7 linked regions of the Macaca fascicularis genome follow. The protein of the gene in region 5 interacts with the protein of the main gene of each other region in a pairwise test. Links are inferred from orthologs where the notes say so. Each region holds a gene or a part of one and is shown on either strand. Other genes may lie near its edges. The genes, in order: JUN, BFSP2, SNAP29, DDIT3, ATF4, EGLN3 and CCDC106.

The links.
Region 1: the proteins of ATF4 (region 5) and JUN interact in binary tests that used the Homo sapiens proteins (3 or more experiments, as listed by UniProt). The link is inferred for Macaca fascicularis from reciprocal best matches to the Homo sapiens genes ATF4 and JUN.
Region 2: the proteins of ATF4 (region 5) and BFSP2 interact in binary tests that used the Homo sapiens proteins (3 or more experiments, as listed by UniProt). The link is inferred for Macaca fascicularis from reciprocal best matches to the Homo sapiens genes ATF4 and BFSP2.
Region 3: the proteins of ATF4 (region 5) and SNAP29 interact in a two-hybrid assay, tested with the Homo sapiens proteins (2 studies listed by BioGRID and IntAct). The link is inferred for Macaca fascicularis from reciprocal best matches to the Homo sapiens genes ATF4 and SNAP29.
Region 4: the proteins of ATF4 (region 5) and DDIT3 interact in binary tests that used the Homo sapiens proteins (3 or more experiments, as listed by UniProt). The link is inferred for Macaca fascicularis from reciprocal best matches to the Homo sapiens genes ATF4 and DDIT3.
Region 6: the proteins of ATF4 (region 5) and EGLN3 interact in a two-hybrid assay, tested with the Homo sapiens proteins (2 studies listed by BioGRID). The link is inferred for Macaca fascicularis from reciprocal best matches to the Homo sapiens genes ATF4 and EGLN3.
Region 7: the proteins of ATF4 (region 5) and CCDC106 interact in binary tests that used the Homo sapiens proteins (3 or more experiments, as listed by UniProt). The link is inferred for Macaca fascicularis from reciprocal best matches to the Homo sapiens genes ATF4 and CCDC106.

What each region holds. Positions count from the first base shown.
Region 1 is NC_088375.1:175,918,076-175,922,223, reverse strand, and holds JUN (transcription factor Jun), read right to left. Parts: upstream 2,801-4,148; 5' UTR 1,823-2,800; coding exon 818-1,822; 3' UTR 62-817; downstream 1-61. UniProt on the Homo sapiens protein: Transcription factor that recognizes and binds to the AP-1 consensus motif 5'-TGA[GC]TCA-3'.
Region 2 is NC_088376.1:36,333,195-36,337,234, forward strand, and holds the start of BFSP2 (phakinin), read left to right. Parts: upstream 1-1,240; 5' UTR 1,241-1,265; coding exon 1,266-1,754; intron 1,755-4,040.
Region 3 is NC_088384.1:31,834,204-31,837,703, forward strand, and holds part of SNAP29 (synaptosomal-associated protein 29), read left to right. Parts: intron 1-2,687; coding exon 2,688-2,884; intron 2,885-3,500. UniProt on the Homo sapiens protein: SNAREs, soluble N-ethylmaleimide-sensitive factor-attachment protein receptors, are essential proteins for fusion of cellular membranes.
Region 4 is NC_088385.1:64,327,937-64,332,184, forward strand, and holds the start of DDIT3 (DNA damage-inducible transcript 3 protein), read right to left. Parts: upstream 2,801-4,248; 5' UTR 2,686-2,800; intron 2,615-2,685; exon of another isoform or gene 2,580-2,614; coding exon of another isoform or gene 2,517-2,579; intron 1-2,516. Other genes in the region: DDIT3 upstream open reading frame protein, read right to left, coding at 2,517-2,579. UniProt on the Homo sapiens protein: Multifunctional transcription factor in endoplasmic reticulum (ER) stress response. Plays an essential role in the response to a wide variety of cell stresses and induces cell cycle arrest and apoptosis in response to ER stress.
Region 5 is NC_088384.1:12,124,644-12,128,457, reverse strand, and holds ATF4 (cyclic AMP-dependent transcription factor ATF-4), read left to right. Parts: upstream 1-1,183; 5' UTR 1,184-1,376; intron 1,377-1,980; 5' UTR 1,981-2,072; coding exon 2,073-2,298; intron 2,299-2,399; coding exon 2,400-3,229; 3' UTR 3,230-3,314; downstream 3,315-3,814. UniProt on the Homo sapiens protein: Transcription factor that binds the cAMP response element (CRE) (consensus: 5'-GTGACGT[AC][AG]-3') and displays two biological functions, as regulator of metabolic and redox processes under normal cellular conditions, and as master transcription factor during integrated stress response (ISR).
Region 6 is NC_088381.1:101,740,303-101,743,802, reverse strand, and holds part of EGLN3 (prolyl hydroxylase EGLN3), read left to right. Parts: intron 1-2,853; coding exon 2,854-2,973; intron 2,974-3,500. UniProt on the Homo sapiens protein: Prolyl hydroxylase that mediates hydroxylation of proline residues in target proteins, such as PKM, TELO2, ATF4 and HIF1A. Target proteins are preferentially recognized via a LXXLAP motif.
Region 7 is NC_088393.1:63,601,615-63,605,554, forward strand, and holds the start of CCDC106 (coiled-coil domain-containing protein 106), read left to right. Parts: upstream 1-1,140; 5' UTR 1,141-1,231; intron 1,232-1,702; exon of another isoform or gene 1,703-2,077; intron 2,078-2,535; exon of another isoform or gene 2,536-2,642; 5' UTR 2,643-2,687; coding exon 2,688-2,718; intron 2,719-2,848; coding exon 2,849-2,953; intron 2,954-3,049; coding exon 3,050-3,226; intron 3,227-3,940. UniProt on the Homo sapiens protein: Promotes the degradation of p53/TP53 protein and inhibits its transactivity.

The sequences.
Region 1 (4,148 bases), on a different chromosome or scaffold from region 5:
TCTTTCAACTCCACCTAGATAGCTAGTATCTATAGATGATGCAGAAAAGAGGTTAGGGGAGTACTTTTCAATAGTTTATTGTATTTTCTTAAATATCCTTTCTGGAATTTTCAGAAACAAAACATAAAAAAATTATATACTTTATTACAAATGGTAAACTCAGAGTGCTCCAAATCTCTTATTTACAAACAACACTGGGCAGGACACCCAAACAAACAAACAAGAAATAACTTACAAAGGCATGAAGCTGTTTATTGACAGTAATCAGCTTTCATCAAATTAAAAAATATATATATGTACATACACAGTTAACGAAGGCAGGCCAGAAAGAGTTCATCTGTAGGCTCAGCCTCGCTCTCACAAACCTCCCTCCTGCCGCCCCTCCCCAGCCCTCCCCCCCGCTTTGTGTTCTTAATGAGTACTACAGAAGCAATCTACAGTCTCTATTGCAGTTTGTAACCCCCTCCCCCTCCCCCCTTTAATACTGAATGAGATCGAATGTTAGGTCCATGCAGTTCTTGGTCAATGTTAACGAAAAGTCCAACGTTCCGTCCGCGCGGGGACAGCCCGTCCGCAAAGCGGGGCAGCCCGCAGGCGGCCGCTCCCTGGCTCCACGCCAAGGGAGGGCGCGCCAAGTCCTTCCCACTCGTGCACACTGGGGGCGCCGTCAGGACGCAACCCAGTCCAACTTGGATACCCTTGGCTTTAGTTCTCGGACACTTCTTTTTTCTCTCCGTCGCAACTTGTCAAGTTTTCAAGTCTGTCTCTCTGTGTTATTTTTTTTCTCCGTTGCCCCTCAGCCCCCAACAGTCTCTCTTCAAAATGTTTGCAACTGCTGCGTTAGCATGAGTTGGCACCCACTGTTAACGTGGTTCATGACTTTCTGTTTAAGCTGTGCCACCTGTTCCCTGAGCATGTTGGCCGTGGACGCCAGCTCCGAGTTCTGAGCTTTCAAGGTTTTCACTTTTTCCTCCAGCCGGGCGATTCTCTCCAGCTTCCTTTTTCGGCACTTGGAGGCAGCAATGCGGTTCCTCATACGCTTCCTCTCCGCCTTGATCCGCTCCTGGGACTCCATGTCAATGGGGGACAGGGGCGGCGTCTCGCCAGGCATCTCGGGCACTGTCTGAGGCTCCTCCTTCAGGGCTTGCAGCCGCGGGTGCTGCACGGGCATCTGCTGGGGCAGGTGGTGCGGCGGCTGCGGCGGCGGCTGCTGCTGCTGGGGTTGCGCGGGAAAGGCCAGGCCGGCCGCGCCGTAGGAGGGCGCCCCGCCGCCGCTGCTCAGCGCGCCTGGGTTGAAGTTGCTGAGGTTGGCGTAGACGGGCGGCTCGCTGTGCAGGCTGGCGCTGAAGCCTCCGCTGCCGCTGCCCCCTGCCACCGAGGCTACCGCTGGAGCTACCATGCCCGCCCCGCTGACCGGCTGCGCCGCTGACGTGACGCTGGGCAGCGTGTTCTGGCTGTGCAGTTCGGCCAGGGCGCGCACGAAGCCCTCGGCGAAGCCCTCCTGCTCGTCTGTCACGTTCTTGGGGCACAGGAACTGGGTGGGGGTCGGCGTGGTGGTGATGTGCCCGTTGCTGGACTGGATTATCAGGCGCTCCAGCTCGGGCGACGCCAGCTTGAGCAGCCCCACGTCGGGCGAGGTGAGGAGGTCCGAGTTCTTGGCGCGGAGGTGCGGCTTCAGGCTCCCCACTGGGTCGGCCAGGTTCAGGGTCATGCTCTGTTTCAGGATCTTGGGGTTACTGTAGCCATAAGCTCCGCTCTCGGACGGGAGGAACGAGGCGTTGAGGGCATCATCATAGAAGGTCGTTTCCATCTTTGCAGTCATAGAACAGTCCGTCACTTCACGTGAGGTTAGTTTGGGCTGCGTGCTGAAGTTTCGGGGCCGCAACAGCGCTCTGGCAAGCGGGGGACACCCGTGCCCCCCGGGGCCTTTGGCAGGGAAAGTTTCTCTAAGAGCGCGCGCACCCGCTGGTTGTCGTCCCCGCTGCGCCCTCCTCACCAGCTCGCTCCAGGGAGCGCAGGGTTAATTAAGATGCCTCCCGCACTCTTACTTGTCGACTCGCGCGCGCGCTACCCGGCTTTGAAAAGTCGCGGTCACTCACTGAGCGCTCTTCGGGCGCCGCCGTTCCTTGGAGTCCGCGGGCGAACTCGCTTCCCAGAGCAGCGGCTCTCCCGGCGGCGCGGATCAGTGCCGACCCGCAGAGGCCGACCAGCGGCGGGTCTCGGCCGCCCAGACTCCGACGACTTGTCCCCTCCTCCGCTGCGAGGGGGAGGGGGCGCCCGGCAGCCGCGGCTCGCGCTCGCCCAAGTTCAGCAACCGGTGCGAGCGAAGCTGAGCGCACGTCCTTCTTCTTTTGCGTGGCTGTCCGCCGCCTCCTGGTCTTTACCGCCGCCGAATAGCCTAAGACGCAGGAAAGGCTTGCAAAAGTTCGCTCCGGGACTCTGGGCCAGTTGTCTCCGGCCCTCCGGGCCGAGAAAGTTCTTTGCTGCTGCAGTCGCTCGCCGACTTCCCCCGGCGGGCGCGTGGGTACCGCTGCTCGCCACCGCTGTCAACAGCGCCTGGGCAGCAGGGCTCTCCTCCTGGGGGCGGCTGGAGACCAGGCTCTCTGGGCACTCCTCGTAACACCAGCCCGGGAGCCACAGGCGCTAGCTCTGGGCAGTTGGAGAGAAGGTGGAAAAGAAAATAAGATTTGCAGTTCGGACTATACTGCCGTCCTGGCTGGCTGGTTGTGTCTGTCTGCCTGCCTGAGTCCGCGCACCTCCACTCCCGCCTCGCTGCTTCAGCCACACTCAGTGCAACTCTGAGCCCTTATCCAGCTCGAGCTCAACACTTATCTGCTACCAGTCAACCCCTAAAAATAGCCCATGATGTCACCCCAAGGCCTTCCCATTGGCTCGCGTCGCTCTCAGGGGGGCGGGCCCGCCCGTCACCATGGAGACTCCACCCTAGAAGATTCTTCTCTGGGCCCGCGGAGGCTCACGGGATGAGGTAATGCTCCGCTGCCCTCCTACAGTCGGGCCCTTCTTTCTCCTACCCTCCCCCCTGCCGCACGCCTCTCGGCCCTCTCTTCCCCGGTCCCCTCCCCGGGCCGTTTTTCCCGGCCCGCCCGGTGCATTGTGGGCTGACGTCTTGGGGTTTGACTGTCTAGTGACGGTGGCTGCCGCGAGCGGGCGGACGCTCGCAACATCTGACGGAGGGGGCTCAAGTTCACGGCTGCGGACTGGGATGCAGGGGATGCGGGGACCCGGGAGGCCAGGGAACCCGGCCAGTTGTTTTGGGTCAAGGGTGCGGGCGAGGGGTGGTTGTGTTTCCCCACTTGTGGGGCTCGAAGTCATCCACCGGCGTCCGCCACCGCGCGGGGCGGGAGGCTGAGAGTCCAGGTCCGCCGCCCCCCCGCACTTCCGGGGGGCGGGAGCGCCGCCCTTAAGGTGGCTCTGTGAAGTCCCAGTTGGGGGCGAGCCTAAGGGGGCTTAAGTTTGGGGGCGGTCTCCCGAGAGTCGGCCCCCCACGTTGAGAAACGCTGCGAAGTTTGCATCTCGGTCAAGTTCAGGAGCGATGGTCCGCGGGGTTGTCTGGCTGCTCTTAGAAGCTGAGAGATTTGTATTGCCCAAAACTGGACGCTCAGCTGAGTCTCCGTTGCACCCCACTTCATCCTCCGGGACCGTGGGGGAAAGGGCGCGGGGGATCACAGCTTTGCCTCCGAGGGGCAGTTTTTATAGTGGGCGCAATTAGTGGGTAACAGGGTCCAGATGGGAACAAGCGTGTAGGCGATCCGAAACTCGGGGAACCCCGGTGTTAGTCTACTCCCCTTCCCGCCCCCGGACAACACACACACGCTTAACACAACACGCACAACATGCGCGCGCGCGCACACACACACACACACACGCACACACTCTCCACCCGCGCCGAGTTGCTTCCGGGAAAACAAGCTCAGAAGGCGGGGGACACTCGCATAAAGTAACGCAGTAGAACTCAGGAGCCCGGGGTAGAACCTGGACTTCAAATCTCCACCTTCCCGGCCGGGTGGTGGGCCCATATCCTGAGTAGCCTCTAGGAAGCGCTAGACACATGTAAGTGGTTCCTTTTCCGCGGTTGTTATTTTATCTTCCCCCCGCCCCCCACCCCTTAGGGACGAAAGTGTGTGGTG
Region 2 (4,040 bases), on a different chromosome or scaffold from region 5:
CCCTGGACCTCCTTCCTCCTGAGGCTGAGTTGAGAATTCCATGAAATAAACTATACGATTCATCCACACACCAGGCTGGATCAGGTATTCACTAGAGGTTGGCTCCCTTCTCCTTCTCTCACCTGAGGTACATTCCTACATTACAGCATTTGGAAAAATATCCAGCTCTGGGGTTTGGTGACCTGGTTTCTCCAGGGTAAAACTTATGTACAGCGGTTTTTAGGTCCATGTTGTCATCCTGAAACTGGAGGAACCTTTCTGACCCTAGAGAATGGATTGAGGTGTGACCCTTGATGGTTTAGTGGATGCCAAGGTCAGTAATTAAAACCCAGGGGTGTCATCATATCCTAACTTGGGGCACCCTTGGAGAGCTTACCAGAAAACACCGTCTTTGTTGTTTTTCTCAGTTTTCCAACAGATGGAGAAGCAGAGGTGTAGGGAATGGCTGGAACATAATGTGTGGGACCTGAATCTGCCCAAGGTCCTTATCTGGTGCATCAGAGAGTTGGAGGCTCATGCCAATGTTCAAACAGTGAGGTCCAGAGGGAGGAAGCATCCTGGCCAACAGCAAGCAGCTGATGAACAGCAGAGCATTAGAGGACAGAGATGAGGAGGAAAGGACAGAGGCGAGGCAAGGACCTGAAGCTGCTGTCAGGACTGAGAGAGGAAACCGTAGGCAAGTCTTTTCTCTTGGGTCCCTGGAGCTGCCTCCTGACACTTTTCATCTTCCATTGCCTGTGTGGACATGTGTTCACATTCACATGTGCCAGTACACATAGGGATGTAGAAAGCCCCAAAATAGCTAGATTGAGTCCTAGCTTGTAATTTGAGGTCTGGGGCAAGTGATCACCACACTTGTGATCTGAGGTCCTTGAGCCTCAGTTTACTCGTCTGTAAAATGGGGTTGCCTGATGCCTGCCTTGCCCACTCTTAGGTAGTAAAATGTACAAACCCAAATGGTCTACCCCCACAGCCTGCACTGATCCAGCCTCCCCCACCACCAGCAGAATAATCTGGGAGGTTGGGCACATGACCCTGCATCAAAGAATGCATGAGTGCCTCTCTGCACACAGCCCTGGGCAGTGCCCTCTTCTCTTTCAGCTCAGTGAATGATGGAAACTCATGGAAGACAGCAGACAAAGCAGCCCCGGGGATAGGGGAGATTCCAGAGAGGCCCGTGACCAGGCCACAGGGATGCTGGGGCTGTAAACCAAAAGCCACTGGACTCTGTAAACCCACTGGGCGCCACAGAGGCAGAAGGGGTGATGAGCGAGAGGCGAGTAGTAGTGGACTTGCCCCCCAGTGCCAGCTCCAGCATGCCCCTCCAGAGGCGCAGGGCATCCTTCAGGGGGCCACGGTCATCATCCTCCCTGGATAGCCCCCCAGCCTCCAGGACCAATGCCATGAGTGGCCTTGTCCGAGCACCTGGGGTCTATGTAGGAACAGCACCCAGTGGGTGCATAGGTGGCCTGGGTGCCCGTGTGACCCGCCGGGCCCTCGGCATCAGCAGTGTCTTCCTTCAGGGCCTGCGGAGCTCAGGCCTGGCCACAGTGCCGGCTCCAGGTTTGGAGAGGGACCATGGTGCTGTTGAGGACCTAGGGGGCTGCCTGGTGGAATATATGGCCAAAGTGCATGCCCTTGAACAAGTCAGTCAGGAGCTGGAAACACAACTGCGGATGCACCTGGAGAGCAAGGCCACGCGCTCGGGAAATTGGGGTGCCCTACGGGCTTCCTGGGCCAGCAGCTGCCAGCAGGTAAGTGTCCAGGCTGTGCCAAGGGCTTTGCAGAGGGCTGGGAGGGGCTGCTGAGGGCAGGAGTAAGGTTGTGAGTAGGCTGAGGCCAGAGAAACTGACCATAATGCCCTACACTTTCACACTTAAAATGTTCATGATAACAACAATGCTCCTTTTTACCAAGGTTTACCAGGAGCCCACGCTAGCCCCCATACGTGCACTATCCACTGTCTTCTTTACAATTTGAAGACATGCTATGCAGTGGATCATTCATTGATTGCACTTTTGAGATGAGAAACTGAGGCATGTAATTTTCCCAAGACTTCAAAGCTAGTAGAGGGATGAAGATGAGATTTGAATCTGAATTTTTGTGCCTTCAAAGTTGCATGTGCCCCATTACCCTGAGCTGCCTCAGTCACCTTTACTGTTGAGAAGGGATTTTTACAGTCAAATACCATTGGATGGATGTGGTATTAAGAACAATGAATAAATGGAGGTGTGTTCCTGTATCCACCTATAATCACCCTGTTCAATAGAAATGTGAGGTACATTGGTAATCAACAAGTTTCTATTACCCACAGTAAAACAAGTAAAAAGAAGCAGGTGAAGTTAATAGTATAGCTTACTTAACTCTATATGTCCAGAATGTTATTTCAACATGTAATCAATACAAAATATATGAATGAGATAATTTACATTCAAGTAGAACTTTCTGCATGATGGAAATATTAATATCTTATATCTACACTGTCCAATCTGGCAGCCACTAGCCAGATATAGCTATCAAGCACTTGAAATGTGGTTAATGAGACTGAGGAATTGCGTTTTTGTTTTATCTAATTTTCATTAATTTAAATGTAAACAGCCATGGGTAGCTAATGGCCATCTTATTGGACAGGGAAGGATGCAGAGGTTTCATCTTTCTCCCTTGCTTGGTCAGCCCTGCGTTTCCCACTCTCCAGGGTGATTTCTGCAGAGTCTGGAGCTCATCCATCATGTCTGGCCTGCAGCCTGTAGTTCTAATGCTGGGACTCCAGCCAGCATTGCACCTCTCAGCTGGTCTCTCTGTGGATGGTTGGCTTCTCTCCTCCTCTTTCTCTCCAGACGCTGGTCTTGGGATCACTCTGAGCAAAATCAGTCTCTAACCCACCAGGGACTGCCACTGGAGTCTAGTATGCAGCCTCCCAAGAGGAAGTCACAAAATTTTATTTGTGTGTAGCCGGGGGATGCTAAGCAGGTGCACACAGGGACTCCCCATTTGCCCTTCCTGCCTCCCATTTCGTCCCAGGATGCTTCTCCTGCACTGCTCTCAGTGCCCACTGACAGCACAGAGTGCATGATGAGCAGCACCATCCTCTCAGGCTCTCCCCCTGGTGCTGCTGTTCTGCTTGCATCCATCCGGGCTGCGAGGGAGAGCCATCTTAGAATAGTCCAGGGCCTTAATGCCTGTCAAATCTAAGAGGCAGCCATTCCTCCAGGATTCTTCACAACTGTCCAAATATTGTGCCATAACAACCACCAGAACATCCCTAGATACTCCAATATGTCAGCATCTGCTGGACAATCGCTTGCACTCAGATGCCACACAGACTTGTCAGGAGAAATCAGGTGTCCCAATGGCTAGGTTAAAAAGTAGGGCCACAAAACTTAGTTTATACTCAACAGATACCGACTTGCTCTGGCTCCAGATAGCTACAAGAGCCCTTGCAACGTACTGACTTCTCTGGGCCTCAGTTTCATTATCTACAAAATGGGTATAATAATGCTTAGATATTCCTGCAAATCCACAGACAAATAAGATGACTGGCTCCTGCCTACAGGTAGAGTACAGACTAGGAAGCTCTAAAATCCTGTGAGCGCCGCAGCCACACACCAAGACATGCGACCTCTGTAGCTGAGGGCCAGGGTCTCACATGGGCTCACTTTCCTCTTCAGTGATTGTAAATGAGGTCCTGGGTATTAATAAAGTTCTCTTTTTCTTCTTTTTTAAAAAATTCATGGCCTTGAAATTAGACCAATTGATAAAATGGAGTTATTATTTCTTTTTTTTTCTTTTTTTCTTTTTTTTTTTTTTTTGAGATGGAGTCTCGTTCTGTCACCCAGGCTGGAGTGCTGTGGTGTGATCTTGACTCACTGTAACCTCCCACCTCCCAGGTTCAAGCGATTCTCCTGCCTCAGCCTCCCAAGTAGCTGGGATTACAGGCGCATGCCACCATGCCCAGCTAATTTTTGTGTACGTTTAATGGAGATGGGGTTGCACCATGTTGACCAGGCTGGTTTCGAACTCCTGACCTCAGGTGATCCACC
Region 3 (3,500 bases), about 20 Mb from region 5:
CAGCCTGCAAAGCTAGCTGGAACTGGACTGTTAGAAAAACGTGTAGATGCTGGAGAAAATCTCTTTAATCCTAATGTGTAGCTCTGCCTTATTCCAGAAAAGACCACAGTATGGACATGAAGATGATAAACTTGAGGTAATGGAAGAAGCAGAAACACCAGATATGTTAGCAGCTCTTTTTTCTTTTGAAAACTAGCTCTTGCAAGATTTGCTTGACATACTGACTGACACAGTCCAGAAAACATTTTTCTTTTTAGTTAAAAAAGGCTGATGGTTTTTTCAGACATGTCTTGTGAACTGGCGAAAAATGTAAATGTTGAAAGCTGTAAAATTCAGCGGTTCTAAGTTTATTTCCAGCAAGAGTTAAAGTTTAATAGTAAATTCAACCAGTGTTTTAGCTTTTTGCGTATACATTATGTTTTTAAATTTCACCCATTAAACAAGGACTTAGGTTACACATTGATTCCTTAAGGACTTTAAGGAAGCCACAACCATTTATTTATAGTTGCATTTTGCTTTTCTGATTACAGTTGCATTTTACTCTTCAGCGATTAAAGCTTTTTTTTTTTTTTTTTTTTTTTAACTTTGTTTTTAGGCATCAAGAGAGAATATATCTAAAAAACACTTGTGGCCGGGCGCGGTGACTCACGCCTGTAATCCCAGCACTTTGGGAGGCCGAGGCGGGCAGATCACAAGGTCAGGAGATCGAGACCATCCTAGCCAACACAGTGAAACCCCATGTCTACTAAAAAGAAATACAAAAAATTAGCTGGGCGTGTTGGCGGGCGCCTGTAGTCCCAGCTATTCGAGAGACTGAAGCTGGAGAATGGTGTGAACCCAGGAGGCGGAGCTTTCAGTGAGCCGAGGTTGCGCCACTGCACTCCAACCTAGGCGACAGAGCGACACTCGGTCTCAAAAAAAAAAAAAAAAGTATTTGCATAGTTAGTGTAATTGCTAAGCCACAGGGTGATGCGTGGATAACAGATTCAGAGGAAGGCAGCTGAGGGCAGAGGCTGCCTGAGAGCAGGAAAAAGAAGCTTGAGAGCCTTCTGGCTGGAAAGGCAGCTCAACAGATGGGCCGCAGCCGTAGATCAGTTCTGAAGCAGAGACTGAAGCAAGTTTGTCATAAATAAAGGAAAGTGGTAGTGTTCCTGTTGTGGTGGATGTATATCCACAACCAGAACCTTTAGCTCTGGAGGGACCATCAGGCTGCCACTGTGGCCAGAGAGCATCACTCACGTCTCCACTGGGCAGATTTGCAGAGACTCATCTGTGAACAGAGCAAGTCCCTGCCTCCTGGAGCTCATATGCTGTGAAGAAAAGAGAGGCTGGGTGCAGTGGCTCATACCTGTAATCCCAGCACTTTGGGAGGCCGAGGCAGGTGAATCACCTGATGTCAGGAGTTCGAGACCACCAGGCCAACATGGTAAAACCCTGTCTCTACCAAAAATACAAAAAACTAGCTATGCGTGGTGGCAGGCGCCTGGAATCCCAACTACTCTGGAGACTGAGGCAGGAGAATCACCTGAACACAGGAGGCAGAGGTTGCAGTGAGCTAATATCATGCCACTGCACTCCAGCCTGGATGACAGAGCGAGACTCCATCTCAAAATAAAAAAAGGATGTGGAGAAGAGGGTTGGTGGTTGGAAAGAGTTCTCCTTTAGGGAAGATGTCTGGGAAGGCCTCTCTCAGAGAGTGGCCTTTGAGAGGAGACCCTAATTGGATGAGGGATGAGAGGCTGAGCCATATAAGTATCCGGATGGAAAACATTACAGGCAGAGACAGTGGTGTGTGCAAAGGCCCTGGGACAGGGTCACACATGTTAACAGGTTTTAAAGCTGGAATTGCGGATGAACTAGAGTCAGACATTAATAGGACCAGAAGGGACACTGGTCCCTGAAATAGAATTCGAGGATTTGACCATGGCCAGAAGGCTCAGGTGGCCCACTGGGACCTCCTAAAGTGGGAACTTCATAAAGGAGGAATATAAGAACCAAAGTCCAGGTGGCAGTGCCAGGCCCCAGTCTGTGAGGGTTCCCAGAATTGGTGGGCTAGAGAGAATCTGCTTCCAGTTCAGGCCCTGGACTCTGAACCTCACAGGCACATTGCCATCCATCTTACCCGCTGCCCCCAGCATCGAGATGGGGTCTTGCTCTGTTGCCCAGGCTGGAGTGCCGTGGTACAATCTCAGCTCACTGCAACCTCCGCCTCCCAGGTTGAAGTGATTCTCCTGCCTCAGCCTCCCGAGTGGCTGGGATTACAGGCACCCACCACCACAGCTGGCTACTTTTTGTATTTTTAGTAGACAGGGGTTTCACCATGTTGGCCAGGCTGGTCTTGAACTCCTGACCTCGTGATCTGCCCACCTTGGCCTCCCAAAGTGCTGGGATTATGGGCGTGAGCCACTGCGCCAGGCCTCTGCTATCCATCTTAACATGGTGCCGTGAACCAGCCTCTCAGGAAAAGGGTCTCATGAACAAATGAGGAAAGCAAGCAGAGGTAGGGCAGGGAGGGAGAGGCAAAGGAACGTGTTGTTGGAAAGGGTAGTGTGCCCCTCACAGATGATAGTACCCGTCTCCAGATGTGCCCACTGAGAGTTTATGAAGTGGCTGCTCCATGTGGTCCTTGACTGCCCTAGGGGAGAGTCACAGAAAGCTATAATACCACCGCCTCTTGGTTTCCCCAGGAGCTTGTCCGTCAGCGAGGAGTCCTGGAGCGCACAGAGAAGATGGTGGACAAGATGGACCAAGATTTGAAGATCAGCCAGAAACACATCAATAGCATTAAGAGCGTGTTTGGGGGGCTCGTCAATTACTTCAAATCCAAACCAGCAGAGGCCCCACCTGAACAGAATGGCACCCTCGCCTCCCAGCCCAACAGCAGGTGAGTGTGTCTTCTACCATCTGGGTATAAAGGAGCAGAAGTGGGGATTAGTGCAAATGACCAATTGCTTTCAGTCCACGTCAGTGTCATGAAGGGATCCAGCAACCCTTTAAGTTACTCATCAGGATATTTGTCCTCAAACATTGTGAAGCCAGAAACTGTTCTTCCGTGTTCCCATGTTCACTTGATTGACATGTAATCTGTCAACTGCTTCTCCGATAGTTGTGACCCCACTACTTTGAAAGAGAGGGTGTTCGCCTCAGCGTAATCAGTACAAATGTGACTCACTTCACATAATTTTTCCTTTAAAAAGTCTTTAGGGCTGGGTGCAGTGGCTCACATCTGTAATCCCGAAACTTTGGGATGCCAAGGTGAGTGGATTGCTTAAGTCCAGAAGTTCAAGACCAGCCCGGGCAACATAGTGGAACCCCAGTCTTTACAAAAATTACCCAAGCATTGTGGTGCACACCTGTAGTCGCAGCTCCTCAGGAGGCTGAGGTAAGAGGATCGCATGAGGCCTGGAGGTCAAGGCTGCAGTGAGCTGTAATGGTGCTGCTGCACTCCAACCTGAGCTACAGAGGGAGGTCCTGTCTCAAAAAAATAAAAAAAAAAAAAT
Region 4 (4,248 bases), on a different chromosome or scaffold from region 5:
CAACCTCTGCCTCCAGGGTCAAGCGATTCTTCTGCCTCAACCTCCCAAGTAGCTGGGACTACAGGTGCATACCACCGTGCCCAGCTAATTTTTGTGTTTTTAGTAGAGATGGGGTTTCACTGTGTTGGCCAGGATGGTCTCCATCTCTTGACCTTGTGATCTACTCGCCTCCCAAAGTGCTGGGATTATAGGCGTGAACCACCATGCTGGGCCCTTATTTTTCTTTTATCTCCAGCCTCCTACTGGTCCGTCCTTACTTCTGGTCTTGTGGGGTATGCATACTTGGTCCCTGTAGCCATTTCCAAGGGCAGAAGAGGGCCTGACTTTATTTTTAGTTGCTGACATTTGTAGTCCTGGTTACATAATAGCAAAGTTCTGGCCAACTCAGCTTTCTCTAAATTCAAGGCAGGCCTTAAACCTGCCAGGGTAAAGACTAAACTATAGGGAAGGGAACAAATCGTAGCATTTTCCTAACTCCATTCCCACACTGACATCCTGTAGCATTTTCCTAACTCCATTCCCACACTGACATCCTCCAAATGTGTATTTCCAGTCTGGACCTCTTCCAGAACTTCCGACTCTGCTGTCTACTGCCTACTTGCCATTTCTTTTTCAATGTCTAATAGGTACCTAAGACTATGTGCAAACTTGTTGATTTTCCCCTTCCAAGGTCATCCCCATCTCAGATGACAACTCTAGTTGCTTAAGCTAAAAACCTTGGTATCATCCTTCATTCCTCTCACACCCTGCAATCCAAAGTACTAGCAAATTTTAACTTTTTTTTTTTTTTTTTTTGAGACGGGTCTCCCTCTTTTTGCCCAGGCTAGAGGGCAGTGGCACAATCTCCGCTCTGCAACCTTTGCCTCCTGGGTTCAAGCGATTCTCCTGCCTCAGCCTCCTGAGTAGCTGGGATTACAGGCATGCACTACCATGCCTGGCTGATTTTTGTATTTTTAGTAAAGATGGGGTTTCACGTTGGCCAGGCTGGTCTTGAACTCCTGACTTCGTGTGATCCACTCCTCTGGTCTCCTAAAGTGCTGGGATTACAGGCATGAGCCACCATGCCCGGCCCTTAACTCATTCTTTAAAAATGAGTTTTTAAAACTTTGCTTAGAAGAATTTAAACACCTCTAATTCCATTCTTTCCAATCTAGATCAATTCACCACCATCTCTCAATTACTGCAGAAACTTCCTGATTGCAGAAGGTCTTCCCATTTCTTCTCTTGCCACCCCTCCGTAAGTCTATTCACCATACAGCAGCCTGAGTGAACCTTTTAAAACAGGTCATTCCTCTGCTCAAAACTCTCCAGTGACTTCCTATGTCATGTCAGGGAAGTCATTGGAGGGTTTTGAGAGGAGGAATTACCTAAGGTAATTCCTGACCACCTGATGTAACACAGTAACCTCCATCCTGAACATTCTCCATTCCTTTCTCTGCTTTAGCTTTCTCCATGGCACTTATATTTTGTTTACTGTAGGCCTCCCACTGAGATGATTTTTTCCTCTTGCTCACGGATGTTCCCTGAGCCCCAAACTGTTTGGCACACAGTAGGTCCTCATTAAGTATTTGTTAAGAATGAATGAATTCTCCCCAATCTCTCTTATAGGGAAGGGGCAGACGCAGAGTGGCAGCTGCCGATCCCTAGGGACTGGAGATGCAATATTGCCCGAAATATTTCTCTGCAGGGCTGTCTTCCCTGGGGAACCCTCCCTTGCCTTCCAGTGCGTGGGACTTGGCTTTCATCAGCAGTGGAGCCTCAGGTCAGAAGGCTGCAGAGCCAAACGGGGCTGGCCTGATGCAATGGTTACACAGAGATTAGCTGGGAGACAGGACCGGGTTAAAGAGGCAGGGACTAATCCCGAGGGAAGGACGATACCCTGGGGAGACCCCAAATGGCCTCCTACACTTAAGAGATCCAGGCTGCTCTCTTGTGCGGGAGGCCCAGAGACCTCTACGGCAAAGGGAAAACACACCGCTCCCTGTCCATCGGCACCCCTCCCAAAGGCTTGTGTCAAGGTTCCCCTTTCAGCCCTGCAGGGTCCAGTAGCCCCAGCTACCGAGGTGGCCATGCTGACACCAGAGACGCTGAGACTGAGACAGGATTGGGGGTAGGGTAGGGAGAAGGCCGATGGTGGCGAACGGGCGGAAACGGTTTGAGCGATGGTAACTCAGTCTTAGAGCGGGGGTGTGTCCTGCTGCCTCCCCGCGGACAGGCCTAACGAGGTGGCCTGAAGTTGGCTACGGGAGAGAATGAATTTCCCTAGGGCAGCCGAGGTCCCTTTGCCCAGCAGCACAGAGCAGGGCCCATGCTCCGGCTCCGGGCAGGGGTGGAGAGACGCTGTCGTCCGAAGCAATGGGGGTTTGTAAGCACCACCCCAGAATAAGGGACTCTCCCCATTCCTCTCTCGGACGGTCCCTGACTTCACTGTGGAGGCGTGAGGCCAATCCTAAAGAGCGGATGCCCCAACTCTGAGGAGACGGGAGGGCAAAGGGCAGATGGGAGTCAGTACTCGCCTCTCTCCTCAGGTTCCAGCTCTGATTTTGGCTCTGTCGCTGCCACCCGCTCATCTTCAACATGATACGCTCAGTGCCTTAGACTTAAGCCTCTGACCTCGGGAGCGCCTAGCTGTAATCTTTTACCATGGCCTTGCCCTCCTCTCAGGGGCGGGACCCCAAAACCTACCAATCAGAAAGTGGCACGCCGGCATTGGCCCCGCCTCGTCCCTCGTATCCGCCACTCAGGAGCTCCGCAGAACCGCCCCCGTCGCTCCCTCTCGCTAGGGGGTCGACGTAGTGTCGGACCCGGAAGTGGCTTTGGGTCACGAGGCTTCACGGAGGCGGTGGGTGAGTCATGCGCGCGCGCGGAGGGGAGTGTAGCGGGGGGAGGGGAGGAAAGGGGGGCGGGGATGATGCAATGTTTGGCAACTGGTGTCTGCACGCGCACGCGCAGGGGACTACGAGGGTGGTGGGAGGTGCAGAGGGTGGGGGAAAGGAGAGAGGGCGGGGCGCCAGCTCCCGGCGCCCAACGGCCCCAACGGCTATCAGCGTTGGCCGTCCGTAGTCGGTCGTGTGGAGCCTCTTTGCCGCTTGTCTCCCCCAGAAGCTGCTGTTCCGCCCACCGAGCTTTAGCCGGCGTTTTACCTCCACTATAAGGGACTCCCATTTTCCTTGGCCCCTCCCAGCTAATGGTCATATAGGCCTTTTGAACTTTTCCTTTGAAAGTTGGTATCCATCCACTGGGATTGTCGACATCTCGAGAGTCTTAGAGAGGTCTCCGGGCTCGGTGACTCATGCCTATAATCCCAGCACTTTGGGAGGCTGAGGAGAGCGGATCACTTCAGGTCAGGAGTTCCAGATCAGCCTGACCAACATGGTGAAACCCCGTCTCTACTAAAAATACAAAAATTAGCCGGGTGTGGTGATGCGCGCCTGTAATCCCAGCTACTCTGGAGGCTGAGGCAGGAGAATCGCTTGAACCCTGGTGGCGTATGTTGCAGTGACCGAGATCGCGCCACTGCACTCCAGCCTGGGTGACAGAGCGAGACTACGTTTCACCGAAAACGAAAAACAAATAAAAAAAACCGGGGTCGTCTAGCCCCGTAAATCTCCCAAAAGGGGCCGAGGTACTGGAATCCCTTGGTAGTCATTTTCCGCTTCTCTCACAACAGCGCCCTTGACTTTTACCTTGGAGTTGCTAAGCCCTCAGCCTGCCAGAAGTCATGTATTTTACCCAGTGGACCCAATTCTGTTTGGCCACCTATTTTCCCCCACTATACTCTTACGGCTTTCTCCAATACCAAGACCCTCTCTTGCTGTACCAGACAGCAAGTCCTGTGACTCCCTGCTGTGAGGAGCGCGGCACAGGCCTGCCTCCTAGGTGTTCGGGTCGAGATTTACAGCGGAGTCTCATCCTGGGACGTGTAAGTGCACTTCAGCGCAGGACCGCCGTGGACTGGGGAGACCGGGGCCGCGATTTTAGCCTCAACTCCCCCTCACTTACCAAGGGATCTTACCGTCCTTGTTTGTAAATCAACGAGTTGTAAGGGTAAAATGAGAACCATGAACTTGGAGGCAACTTGAACAAAAGTAAAACGCACCACGCAGAATGCAAAGTATTTTTCTTGTGCCTTGAAAACAGAGGCCATGTGGTGGCCTGTTACATATCCTGTCATACCCTCATGGGGGCAGCCAGAGTTTAAGTAGAAACTGTCACAAGGCCGGTTGTGACTGGAGTGGTGTTTCTGTG
Region 5 (3,814 bases):
CCGAGCACGTGGCCGTGGGTTCCCAAGCGCCTCTCCTCCCAGGGCCATGGGCATGACCACTGAAAAGCGGGTTAGGCCGGGGAGTTCAGAACCCGGAGTGAATCGAAACTACCCCAGGTAGATGGCAGCGAAGAAAATTCTGTTCTTAGGGGAACGCAATCTTCGGACACCAGAAGTTCCCCTATGATGCTATTCTGTGGCAGCCTCGCACTTGAGCCGGATGAGAATTGTAAAAACCCAGGTTGGGCGACAGGACGGCGCGTCTTCCCGGCTCCTTTCCAGAGTTTAGACGGAGCCATGCAGACTCAGCTGGCCTTTGAGTGTAGGTGGGCAGGCCCGAGGCGCCCTCTCGAGACCCCTTCAACCTCCCGGGGGCAGCAACACCGTGTCGGCTATGAATGGCGTCTCTGGAAAACTCAGGCTTGGAACAGGTAACCCCGCGGTTTCCGCAGGCCAGAAATTAGCCCCCGCAACCGAAGGACGCGCAGGCTGGGAGTGGCGGCGGGGCCGCCAGTGGCGGACCTCCACTGAGGGCGGCGGGACCCGACCGCAGGGGCTGGGCCCTGAGGCCACTATGGGGTGCGCTAGGCTAAGGTCTCCTGGGGGCAGAAGCCAGTGCGATTGTAGCTGGCCAGCAGGCTGGCCGGCCTGAGGCCTGGCAGAGACCCGAGACCCCGACCCTTCCCACGCGGACTCCGTGATCCCTCTCCCAGCAGCCGCCCACCTGGGGCCCTGAGCCAATAAGAGCTCGAGGTATATATGACTCACCGTGCCTGGGCCAATCAACTTGACGCGCGCTTTTCGCCAGCACCTCGCGCGATAACTTGGCGTCCTCGGCCTTCACAATAAAAACTCTCCGCCGGAAAACGACCTCTCCCCGCCCACCGCGCCGACACCGGAAGCGAGGCGTGTCTGCGAGATCACTCCGCGCTCCGGCGGCGAAGGAAAGAACGGACTCTGATCATAGAAGTAAAGTAGTGCACCTCTCTCGTTTCGTGAGGTCATAAGAACAAACACCTTTTCTCGTCACAGCTACGCGCTGGGCATAAACGGTTGGGGCGTCAAAGGGAGGGAAACGAGCGGGCGGGAGGAGATGGTCACGTGGCCGTGGCGGAAGGATGCGTCGGTGCTGCGTCCCCTTAGAGACGAAGTCTATAAAGGGCCGGCGGGCGGCTGTTGCGGCCATTTCTACTTCGTCCGCCCACAAATGTAGTTTGGTTCGCACGTGTGCGCCTTCCCTCCTCCCCGCCCGCAGGGTCCACGGCCACCATGGCGTATTAGGGGCAGCAGTGCCTGCGGCAGCATTGGCCTTTGCAGCGGCGGCAGCAGCACCAGGCTCTGCAGCGGCACCCCCCCCCAGCGGCTTAAGCCATGGCGTGAGTACCAGGGCGGGTCGTCCAGCTGTGCTCCCTGGGCCGGCGCAGGTTTTGGGTTGGTGGGGTGCGGCCTGGGGCCCAGGGCGGTGCCGCCAAGGAGGAAGCGATTTTACGAGCGCCCGGGACGCGTGGTCTTTGCTTGGGTGTCCCCGAGACGCTCGCGTGCCCGGGATCGGGAAGGCGCATTCTGGTGCCAGGACTGCTTCCACAGGGGCCCTGCCGCCCTCGGACCCCGAATCCCCCAAGGGTCCCAGGGGTCTCGGCTTTCCCCCCCCGCGAAACGTGGCAAGAACCAAGATGGCGGCGGCAGGGCGGCGCCGCGGGCGTGAGTCAAGGGCGGGCGGTGGGCGGGGCGCGGCCGCCCTGGCCGTATTTGGACGCGGGGACGGAGCGCCTTCCTCTTGGTGGCCGGTGGAAGAATCGCCTGGTCTCCGTGAGCGTCCATTTTGTGGAACCTGAGCCGCAGCAGGGAGGGGCGGATGCAACTGCCCCGTTGCCGACTCTGTAGATGGCTGGACTAGAGAAGTCCCGCCTCGTAAGTGGAAAGATGAAATTCTCAGACCAGCTAACCTCTAATGGGAGTTGGCTTCTGATTCCCATTCAGGCTTCTCACGGCATTCAGCAGCAGCGTTGCTGTAACCGACAAAGACATCTTCGAATTAAGCACATTCCTCGATTCCAGCAAAGCACCGCAACATGACCGAAATGAGCTTCCTGAGCAGCGAGGTGTTGGTGGGGGACTTGATGTCCCCCTTCGACCAGTCGGGTTTGGGGGCTGAAGAAAGCCTAGGTCTCTTAGATGACTACCTGGAGGTGGCCAAGCACTTCAAACCTCATGGGTTCTCCAGCGACAAGGCTAAGGCGGGCTCCTCCGAATGGCTGGCTGTGGATGGGTTGGTCAGTCCCTCCAACAACGGCAAGGGTGAGTGGGCCACCACCACATCGTCTGGGTGGGATCTAGGGTTAGGGGCCTGTTATCTTTGTATCTGACTCACTTGGCCCTGTCATTCAAATCTTTTGCAGAGGATGCCTTCTCCGGGACAGATTGGATGTTGGAGAAAATGGATTTGAAGGAGTTCGACTTTGATGCCCTGTTGGGTATAGATGACCTGGAAACCATGCCAGATGACCTTTTGACCACGTTGGATGACACGTGTGATCTCTTTGCCCCCCTAGTCCAGGAGACTAACAAGGAGCCCCCCCAGACGGTGAACCCAATTGGCCATCTCCCAGAAAGTTTAACAAAACCCGACCAGGTTGCCCCCTTCACCTTCTTGCAACCTCTTCCCCTTTCCCCAGGGGTCCTGTCCTCCACTCCAGATCATTCCTTTAGTTTAGAGCTGGGCAGTGAAGTGGATATCACTGAAGGAGATAGGAAGCCAGATGCCACTGCTTATGTTGCCATGATCCCTCCGTGCATAAAGGAGGAAGACACCCCCTCAGATAATGATAGTGGCATCTGTATGAGCCCGGAGTCCTATCTGGGCTCTCCTCAGCATAGCCCGTCTACCAGGGGCTCTCCAAATAGGAGCCTCCCATCTCCAGGTGTTCTCTGTGGCTCTGCCCGCCCCAAACCTTACGACCCTCCTGGAGAGAAGATGGTAGAAGCAAAAGTAAAGGGTGAGAAACTGGATAAGAAGCTGAAAAAAATGGAGCAAAACAAGACAGCAGCCACTAGGTACCGCCAGAAGAAGAGGGCGGAGCAGGAGGCCCTCACTGGCGAGTGCAAAGAGCTGGAAAAGAAGAATGAGGCTTTAAAAGAGAGGGCGGATTCCCTGGCCAAGGAGATCCAGTACCTGAAAGATTTGATAGAAGAGGTCCGCAAGGCAAGGGGGAAGAAAAGGGTCCCCTAGTTGAGGGTAGTCAGGAGCGTCAGTGTGCTTGTACATAGAGTCTCTGCTGTTGCTGTGTGTTGGAATAAATTATTTTGTAGGGAAAGTACTTGTGTGGATTCTTTTTCTGGCAAATTAGCCGAGTGAGGCGCCACCCACCCATCCCAAACTGGTCATAACATTCCTTGTGAGATCTGGGGAGGAGGGCAGTCCAGGACTGAAGATGGGTACCCAGAGTGGGAACTGCTCGCCCTGCTAGGTGTAAGCCACGATGCCTGATGACTCATGGGGCCATACAGCCAGATAGTTGGCCAACTGTAGCAAGTTGGGTCCTTTACCCAGAGGTGAGTTCGCTGGTTGTGTAGGGAGGAGGCTGGAGCTCTCTGGGAGGTTGGGAGGGAGGGACAGCCTGGGCCTCCACCTATTTATTCAAGAGGGCTTCATGCCAACAGCTGTCGCCTGAAACCCTGGATAAGCTTGCACAGTCCTTGAGATAAGCACACAAGATTAGTTTTCACTTGTTACCCTGAGTTCTGTAGAAGCGTGTTCCTGAAGAAAGAAATGGCTCCTTTTCGGAATTGATGCTGAAGCAGGACAGGAGCTGAG
Region 6 (3,500 bases), on a different chromosome or scaffold from region 5:
AGTTTTAGAAAATAAAAAAGCCTGTACTAAAGTAGGCATCCTCTTGACATGTGTCAGTTTATTGCTTGGCATGTTTGTTATATGATCATTAAATTGTTCTGGCCCGTTCTTTTAACAATACAGCATTGAAGACTTCTCTTCTGTTAAACACTAAATCCCTTCCCCGGCTTGATGAGGTTTAGATAGCAACTCAGTTGGACGGATCTGCTTCCGGAGTTTGTTACTGCCCCGTGCACAAATTGGCACAGAAGTGAATGGCTAGTTATTGAAGTCAGGCTTGCTTCTTGGTGCATCCTTAGCCTCATGGTTTTAGACCCTGTCAAAGACGAGCAAATAGTTGGGAATGTGCCCAAGCAAAGACCCATCTCCTATGGCACTCATCCAGAAAACACACTGATAAAATTGGCCGAATGTAGCCTCAACTGGCCCACTGATGCTTGAAATGATTTCCTTCCATTGTTTCCAACTTGATGCATGTGGTTTCTGGAACCAGGAGAGAGGGTGAATATTCACTCTGGCCAGAAAAATTATCTCTGTTCCTCCCTCTTAAGCAGACAGATACTTTGCTGACATGTAGGGGTTTTGTCCTAATAGTAAGTCCTCTGGAATTGGCTGTTTGTCTCTGTGTGTTTTATAGATGCAGCATTTAGTAGAGGGTGTACTTTTGTGAGTTTGTATCCATCTTTTTTTTTTTTTTCCCCAATATTTTAATCTGAGCTGAGTTCTGAGGCAGAGAAACACTCCTTAATGACCTGAAGAACGATGTTGCTTTTTCAAGGGTTGATGCTTAGATCAAGTCTTAGATCTTCTTGGGCCTTTGACAGATGTGTAACCCAATCCCCTCTTTATAGGAAAGAGACAGCCTGGGATCACAGTTAGTTGCAGAGTGAACTATGGTAGGCATCCAGACCACTGACCTTTTCCTTAGAGAAGAGCTGTTTCAGCATATAAGATTATAGCATTGATGTCGTACTTTTTCTTTTCAGACACACTCAGTGGGGGGAGCGTGAGATAATAGTGAATCCAGCCTGTAATTGTTTGTGGCTTAAGCGACTTTCATTATTGGCTCTGTGGTGGCTCTTATAATCCTAATAGCTGCTTCCAGGGGTGGGTAATTCTGTAGTCATTATAGGTGACTTTATTTATCTCTTCTTCTCTTGCTAGGCCCTTCAATTCTGTTTGCTACCAATCACCCTTCCTCAAGCCATGCTTTGCTTAGTGGTACCTTCATTTGTTAAACCTTTATTGCTGATGTTGCCTCACAGTTTCACCTTCTGAAAGATGCTCAAGCTAACAGCCTAACTTGAGCTCTAAGGATGACATTGCATTGACATTTTCATGTTCAAAGGCAGGATATGGGGATTGTTTGCTGCATGAGGATATGGAGTTTGAGGGAGATGGTGATTTAAGATTTAAAATTGTTGTGAAGTCAAGTTACTATTCAGCCTTATTGTCGATCTGGTATGCACGATCTAGTATGCAAGGTGTGTGATGCCTAGTTCCATGTCATAGGAGCAGTAGTTTCATGCTACTATTGAGAGTGACTCGGCAGCCACGTTCAAGTTGATTCATTGAACCACTAGCCCATTAGCTTGGGGCTGTACTCAAATGGTCATTTTACCGATGAAGCAATGCTGCCATTTATCAGGAAATCTATGGACTGGATCCTTACATGTATGTTTGAAGATAGGTCTTTTAAAATGACAGAAATAGCTATTGATCTTGGTAAAACGTGAATTTACTCTTTAGAGAAAGAGCCATTCACTAGTTCATTGATTTATTTATCACATTTTAGATGGATACCTTCTATATGTCAGGCACTGTCCTAGGTGCTAAGAATACATCAGTGAGTAGAATAGGAAAAAAATTCCCTGTTCTCATCTTATGTTGTTGGTTCCAATATTTTCCTTGCACCTACTGCATCCCTATAAAAAATATTGTTAAAACATGGCAGTATCCTGTGAAGAAAAGAACTGGCTTTCTGTACTTTGCCTTCTTCCCTCTCCCCACTCTCTGTTACAGTTTTTCCCATGGAACAATTAGAGGTTTGTTTTCTCTAATAGTAATTTTCAGTAGGATTTTTGGTATGGCTTTCTACTTTATTCCTCCACCTGATTGATACAGGTAGCAGTTAGACAAAGAGAGCTTCAGATTATCACCTGATTTGATAATTATTAGGAAGAAGACATGCATTAAGAAACACATATTAAGATACATGCATGGCTTTTTTCCTGAAAGGAATCTCCCTGTATTGTCTTTGTTAACAAGTTAGGGCGTGGCTTCCTATTGATCTTCCTCTGTTCCTTCTATCCTAAGCATTTTATTGAGTAAGCCTGACCTTTTCCTCCTTTGGTGATTGGTTCTGTCACTTTGTGTATGCAAGTACCTTTAGCCATTGTTCTGAAACAGTGTGAGTGATTCAGGGGCACTTGCTAAACAGTCATAATCCTTAAGCTCCACACCTAGTGACTCTGATTTTGTAGGTCTAGCATGGGAAACTAGAAACTGCTTTTCTAAAAACGAGTATTGAAGAAAGGCAGGGCATCCAAATAGGTTATGCAAATAGGGCATGTAGTTAGGTTACTTTAAGAAAGACTGTGTAAAATGTTCTAGAACTTTGGGAATATTGTTGAACTACTTTCTACTGGACAGAGCCATAGTATGACCTGGCCATTACTCTTATGCACAGAAGGGTCCAAATTTATGTACCATACATGAAATTAAGAAGCCAGCAACTACCTGTAAATGTCACATAGCACCCAAGGAGACTGTGTTACTTATCTGCTCACCAGTGGGAGGAGAAGATTGTCTGTCTCAGCTTTGTTAACCAGCTTTCTTGGGATTTCTCCATAGGCAATGGTGGCTTGCTATCCGGGAAATGGAACAGGTTATGTTCGCCATGTGGACAACCCCAACGGTGATGGTCGCTGCATCACCTGCATCTACTATCTGAACAAGAATTGGGATGCCAAGGTACTCTTGAATAATGGGAGTAGAGTGTGGGGTTAAAAACTATAGGAAAATGATTCAGATAACTTAGAGGAGAGTTTATATTGGGTTCATAGTTGCCCTATCTCCCACTGATGAAACATTTCTATTTCCACTTCATAACCTCCTGCGACAGTGGAATTAGTACTAAAGTTGTTAAGAAGAAAATAATGAAGTTAATTTGAAGGGGGATAGGTAGGGTGATTATTAACCCTACCTCTGAGAAGGGTGGTTGATGAAGAGAAGGTAATTTGATATTAGAATTAATGATTAATTTTTTTCAGTTTAAATCAGAGTTGCTCTGACTCTCAATGCAGAATAAGATGTACACTTTTCCCTCCCAGAAGCAGCATTGGGAAAGTTCCACAAAAATAGAACTGTAGGATATAAAACCATCCCCAAGAGAGATTTCCCACACAGTCCTCTCCCTCAGGGTGATATGTCTCATTGATCGCTGCTTGCCATGGCTTACTATGGTTTGTGAATGCCAAAGGCTTTGTGGCTTATTTTTG
Region 7 (3,940 bases), on a different chromosome or scaffold from region 5:
ACCTGGGTCATCTGGGAAGAATGTTTTTAAGCTGAAACAATTTTAAAACCACAACCTCCTATCACAAACACATTTTATATGGTAATAGAGTACACAGATATGCAAAATATATGTGAACCAAGTTTCCTTCCCTTTTTTTTTTTTTTTTTTAGATGGAGTTTCGCTCTTGTCACCCAGGCTAGAGTGTAATGGCAAGATCTTGGCTCACTGCAGCCTTTACATCCTGGGTTCAAGCGATTCTCCTGCTTCAGCCCCCCAAGTAATTAGGGTTACAAGCATGTGCCACCATGCCCGGCTAATTTTGTACCTTTAGTAGAGATGGGTTTCACCACGTTGGCCAGGCTGGTCTCGAACTCCTGACCTCAGGTGATCCACACACCTCAGCCTCCCTCAGGACCCTGGGCCTGGAAACAAAAGTTTCTTTACCATAGTTAGCTTTAGTATGTGTAGATTTTTTTTCATTAGCTGCTATTATTTGAGATGGAGTCTCGCAGTGTCGCCCAGGCTGGAGCAGTGGTGCAATCTCCACTCACTGCAACCTCCACCTCCCTGGTTCAAGCGATTCTCCTGCCTCAGCCTCCTGAGTAGCTGGGATTACAGGCACGCACCACCACGCCCAGCTACATATTTTTTTAAACTGCTGATTTCATCCTATTCTATTGAATTCTCCACCCATGAACCTATAGTTTGGAAAAGACTAATCTAGGGCAGGTGGCTCCCCCTGGAATTTCTGGACCAGGCTGCAGTTTATTTGTAAAGTGAAGTGGGGAGGGGAGGATCATGGGTACAGCTTTGCAGGCGGTGCAGACGTTTAGATTCTCCCTCCATCGGGTTAAGACCTTGCTCTCCTAAGGGCTGGCCAGAGTCCAGAGCATGGATGCTTCTGGTGAACAGGAGAGGCAGGTGGAGCTGAGCCTGAAGCTAAATAAACATCTGCTTATTAATTCATTTTTCTTGCCTGTCTGTGCCAGGCACTGTGCTAGGCCTCATTTGCTCTTCCGACCTCTTTTTTTTGGGAGGAAGAACAAATCTTCCGTTCGTACTCCCCAGAGTGGGAAAGGAAAGAGCCTCCCAGAGGTTACGATCATACCCCACCATCTGACCTCAAATAATACCAGCAGCGCTCCTCTCTCAAGCCCTGACTATGGCCAGGTGCTGGGCTGAGCTGTGTGTCCCATCACTGTGTCCTCACAAGAAATGTAGAGGGGCCTGTAATTTCCCCATTTTACAGGTGAGTTAACAGGCTGGGGAGGAGCAGGAACAGTCAGGACTGGAATCTAGCTCTGTTCCAAAGCCAGCTCTTAATTACCAACATGGGGGGGTGGTGGCGTGTTCCTGCCCCTCGTTTTTCTGGAGAGGGGTAACTCCCCCCATTTTGGCCCCCACATCCCTGAGAACCTTGGGGTCTGGCTGTAGGAGGTGGGGGAGCTCTGGGGGGTCTGCGCTGGCTAGTTCCTGAGATCGTTAAAAGTAGATTCTCCTTTCGCTCCAACTTTCCCGGTGTCTCACACACTCCTGCCTTCTCCTGGGCCCACTGGGCCCACCGCCACCCAATCCGGGGACCCCCGGAGGCTCGCCAGCTCTCCAGAATGGGAATTTCTTGACGTTCCCTGCCTGAGCTTCGGGGAGGGCGGGGGAGTGCCGTAAGGGGCTATCGCGCAAGTGCAGACCCTCTGCTTCTGCCGCAAACGGCGGGCCTCACCTGGACCAGGGGACTCTCCAACGAGGGGCGCTAGTCTGGCCCGACTGGGCGAATCCCCGCGTCCGTACCCGTTCCGTCGCTCAGTTCCACGACTCGCTCCCCTGCCGCCCCGCCTGTTCGCGGGTGGGTGGGCGCTTCCCTCGGCTTCCCGTGACACTTTGCAGACGCTCCCCGGCGCCGGGCATGGGCGCCGCCGCCGTCGGTCCCCGAGTCGGATTCCGCGCGCGGGTGGGTGAGCGCGGGGGGCCTCGGCCCCTCGGACCCCGGGCACCCGCGGGCGGGGGATGGTGACCGTATTTGCACCCCCGCCCTGATGCATTCCCCCGCTGGGATCTTTCCACGACTGCTCCCCCTCCCACCCCCGGGACAAAGGGCGGGGGCGGCGCATCCCCACGCGTGACCTTTCCCCGTACTGCGCACGCGCCCAGCCCCCACCACCGGGGGAGGGTCCGCACGCCCACGCGAGTGCGGGGGAGGGGTGTGGGACCCCGGAGGTAGGGGAGGCAGCGCGCACGGGCTGGACCTCCTCCTACCCTGGGAAGTTGGGGCAGTTTCCCTCTGCACCTGCCTCTTCCTTAGGCCTGGCGGTGGCCCGCGATGAGAGTCCTTCCCCTTCAGGCCAGGTGTCCCTGTCAGGCGACCCCTTGGGGCACCCAGCAATTTAGGGCTTCAGCTTCCTTTTCCTTCGATACCCAGGAGCCCACGTCCCCAGCTCACTTCTCCCCTAGGACCTCGGTGGCTGGGCCCCCTGTCCCTGGCTCTGGGAACCCAGGAGTTTGAAGCCCAGGCGTGTTTTGCCTCAGTCCTGGGGTCTGGGCTCCCTCCTCCCTCAGACCAGGGATCCAGGCCAGAAGGTCCTTCCTGCCTCACTTCACCTCCCCCAGGATGGACCCTCGAGTCCATCCGCGTCCCTCCATTTGTGGCTGCTGTTTCTGTCCAGTGCCCCTGAGGCCCTCGGCTGCTGGGGTCCGCAGGAAGCCACGCCATGAATGACCGGAGCAGCCGGAGGCGAACAAGTGAGGAAGCTGGGTCCCCTTCCCTACCCTGGGTCCCGGTGCGGTCGGTCGGCTCCAGGCTGCCGTGGTTGGGGGGTGGTCTGAGGGGCCCGGGACTTCTCTGGGGTGACCCGGGGCCTCTCCTCTCCAGTGAAGGACGATGAGACCTTCGAGATCTCCATCCCCTTCGACGAGGCGCCCCACCTAGACTCACAGATCTTTTACAGTCTGAGCCCCTCTCGGGGAAACTTCGAGGGTGAGCCGAGGGGGCGTGGAGGGACTGGAGTCAGCTGGGAAGCCAGGCCGAGTCCCAGGGTGTGACCTGGTCCCCCCACCCTCGCTGTGTCCCTAGAGCCTCCGGAGGCTGCGTCCCCCGCCCTGGCTTTGATGAACAGCGTCAAGGCCCAGCTGCACATGGCTCTGGAGAGGAACTCCTGGCTGCAGAAGCGCATCGAGGACCTGGAGGAAGAGAGGGACTTCCTGCGGTGCCAGCTGGACAAATTCATCTCTTCTGCTCGGATGGAGGCAGGTATGTGTGGGGTGCTCTGATCCACCTGCCTCCCTGTCCCGCTACTGGGTACCCGCTCACCCAGACTCGAGGCTCCACAGTTTGCCTGGCTGGGTGGGACCTGCCATGTTGGCCCTCTCTGCTAGTCCCCTGCCTGTTTTGGGCCCCCAGGCCCAGCTTCCTCTTCACTTGATGTCCAGGACCTCATCCCCATGAACTGTCTACTGGGGCCTGTCCTCCTGCTTTTTCCTTCAGCTCCCCAAATCCCATCAGCCTCCAGTGCCCTGCCATCTGCTTCCTTGGCCTATGGTGACTTCAGGACCCTGGAACCTGAGAGTCCCTCTCTTCTGACTCCTAGGGGGACCTTCCTTCATCTCTTTGGCCAAGAGGCCCACCCTAGTCCTTTGGGTTTCCTCAGGGGGCCCCTGATCCTCTTCCTGGCCTTGTCTTCTCCAAGATCCAAGAGTCCAGCCATCCAGCCTCCTCCTGTCCCCCCCGTCCCCGTGTGACACCAGGGGCCATCTTCCCACCCACCCTGTCCCATCCTTGGTTAATGAGTTCTCCTTCCTCATGAAAGACATTAAGGCTCTTCCTGTGTGGGCCTTTTTGGGTGGGGACCCCAGCAGGTGCTGTTCCTCAAACCCTGCCCCAGGTTCCTGGGCAGTCCCCGCCCACATACCTTGCTCTGCTATAATTCATGGCCAGAAGCAGCCGGGAGAGCTCCCATAGCAGCCC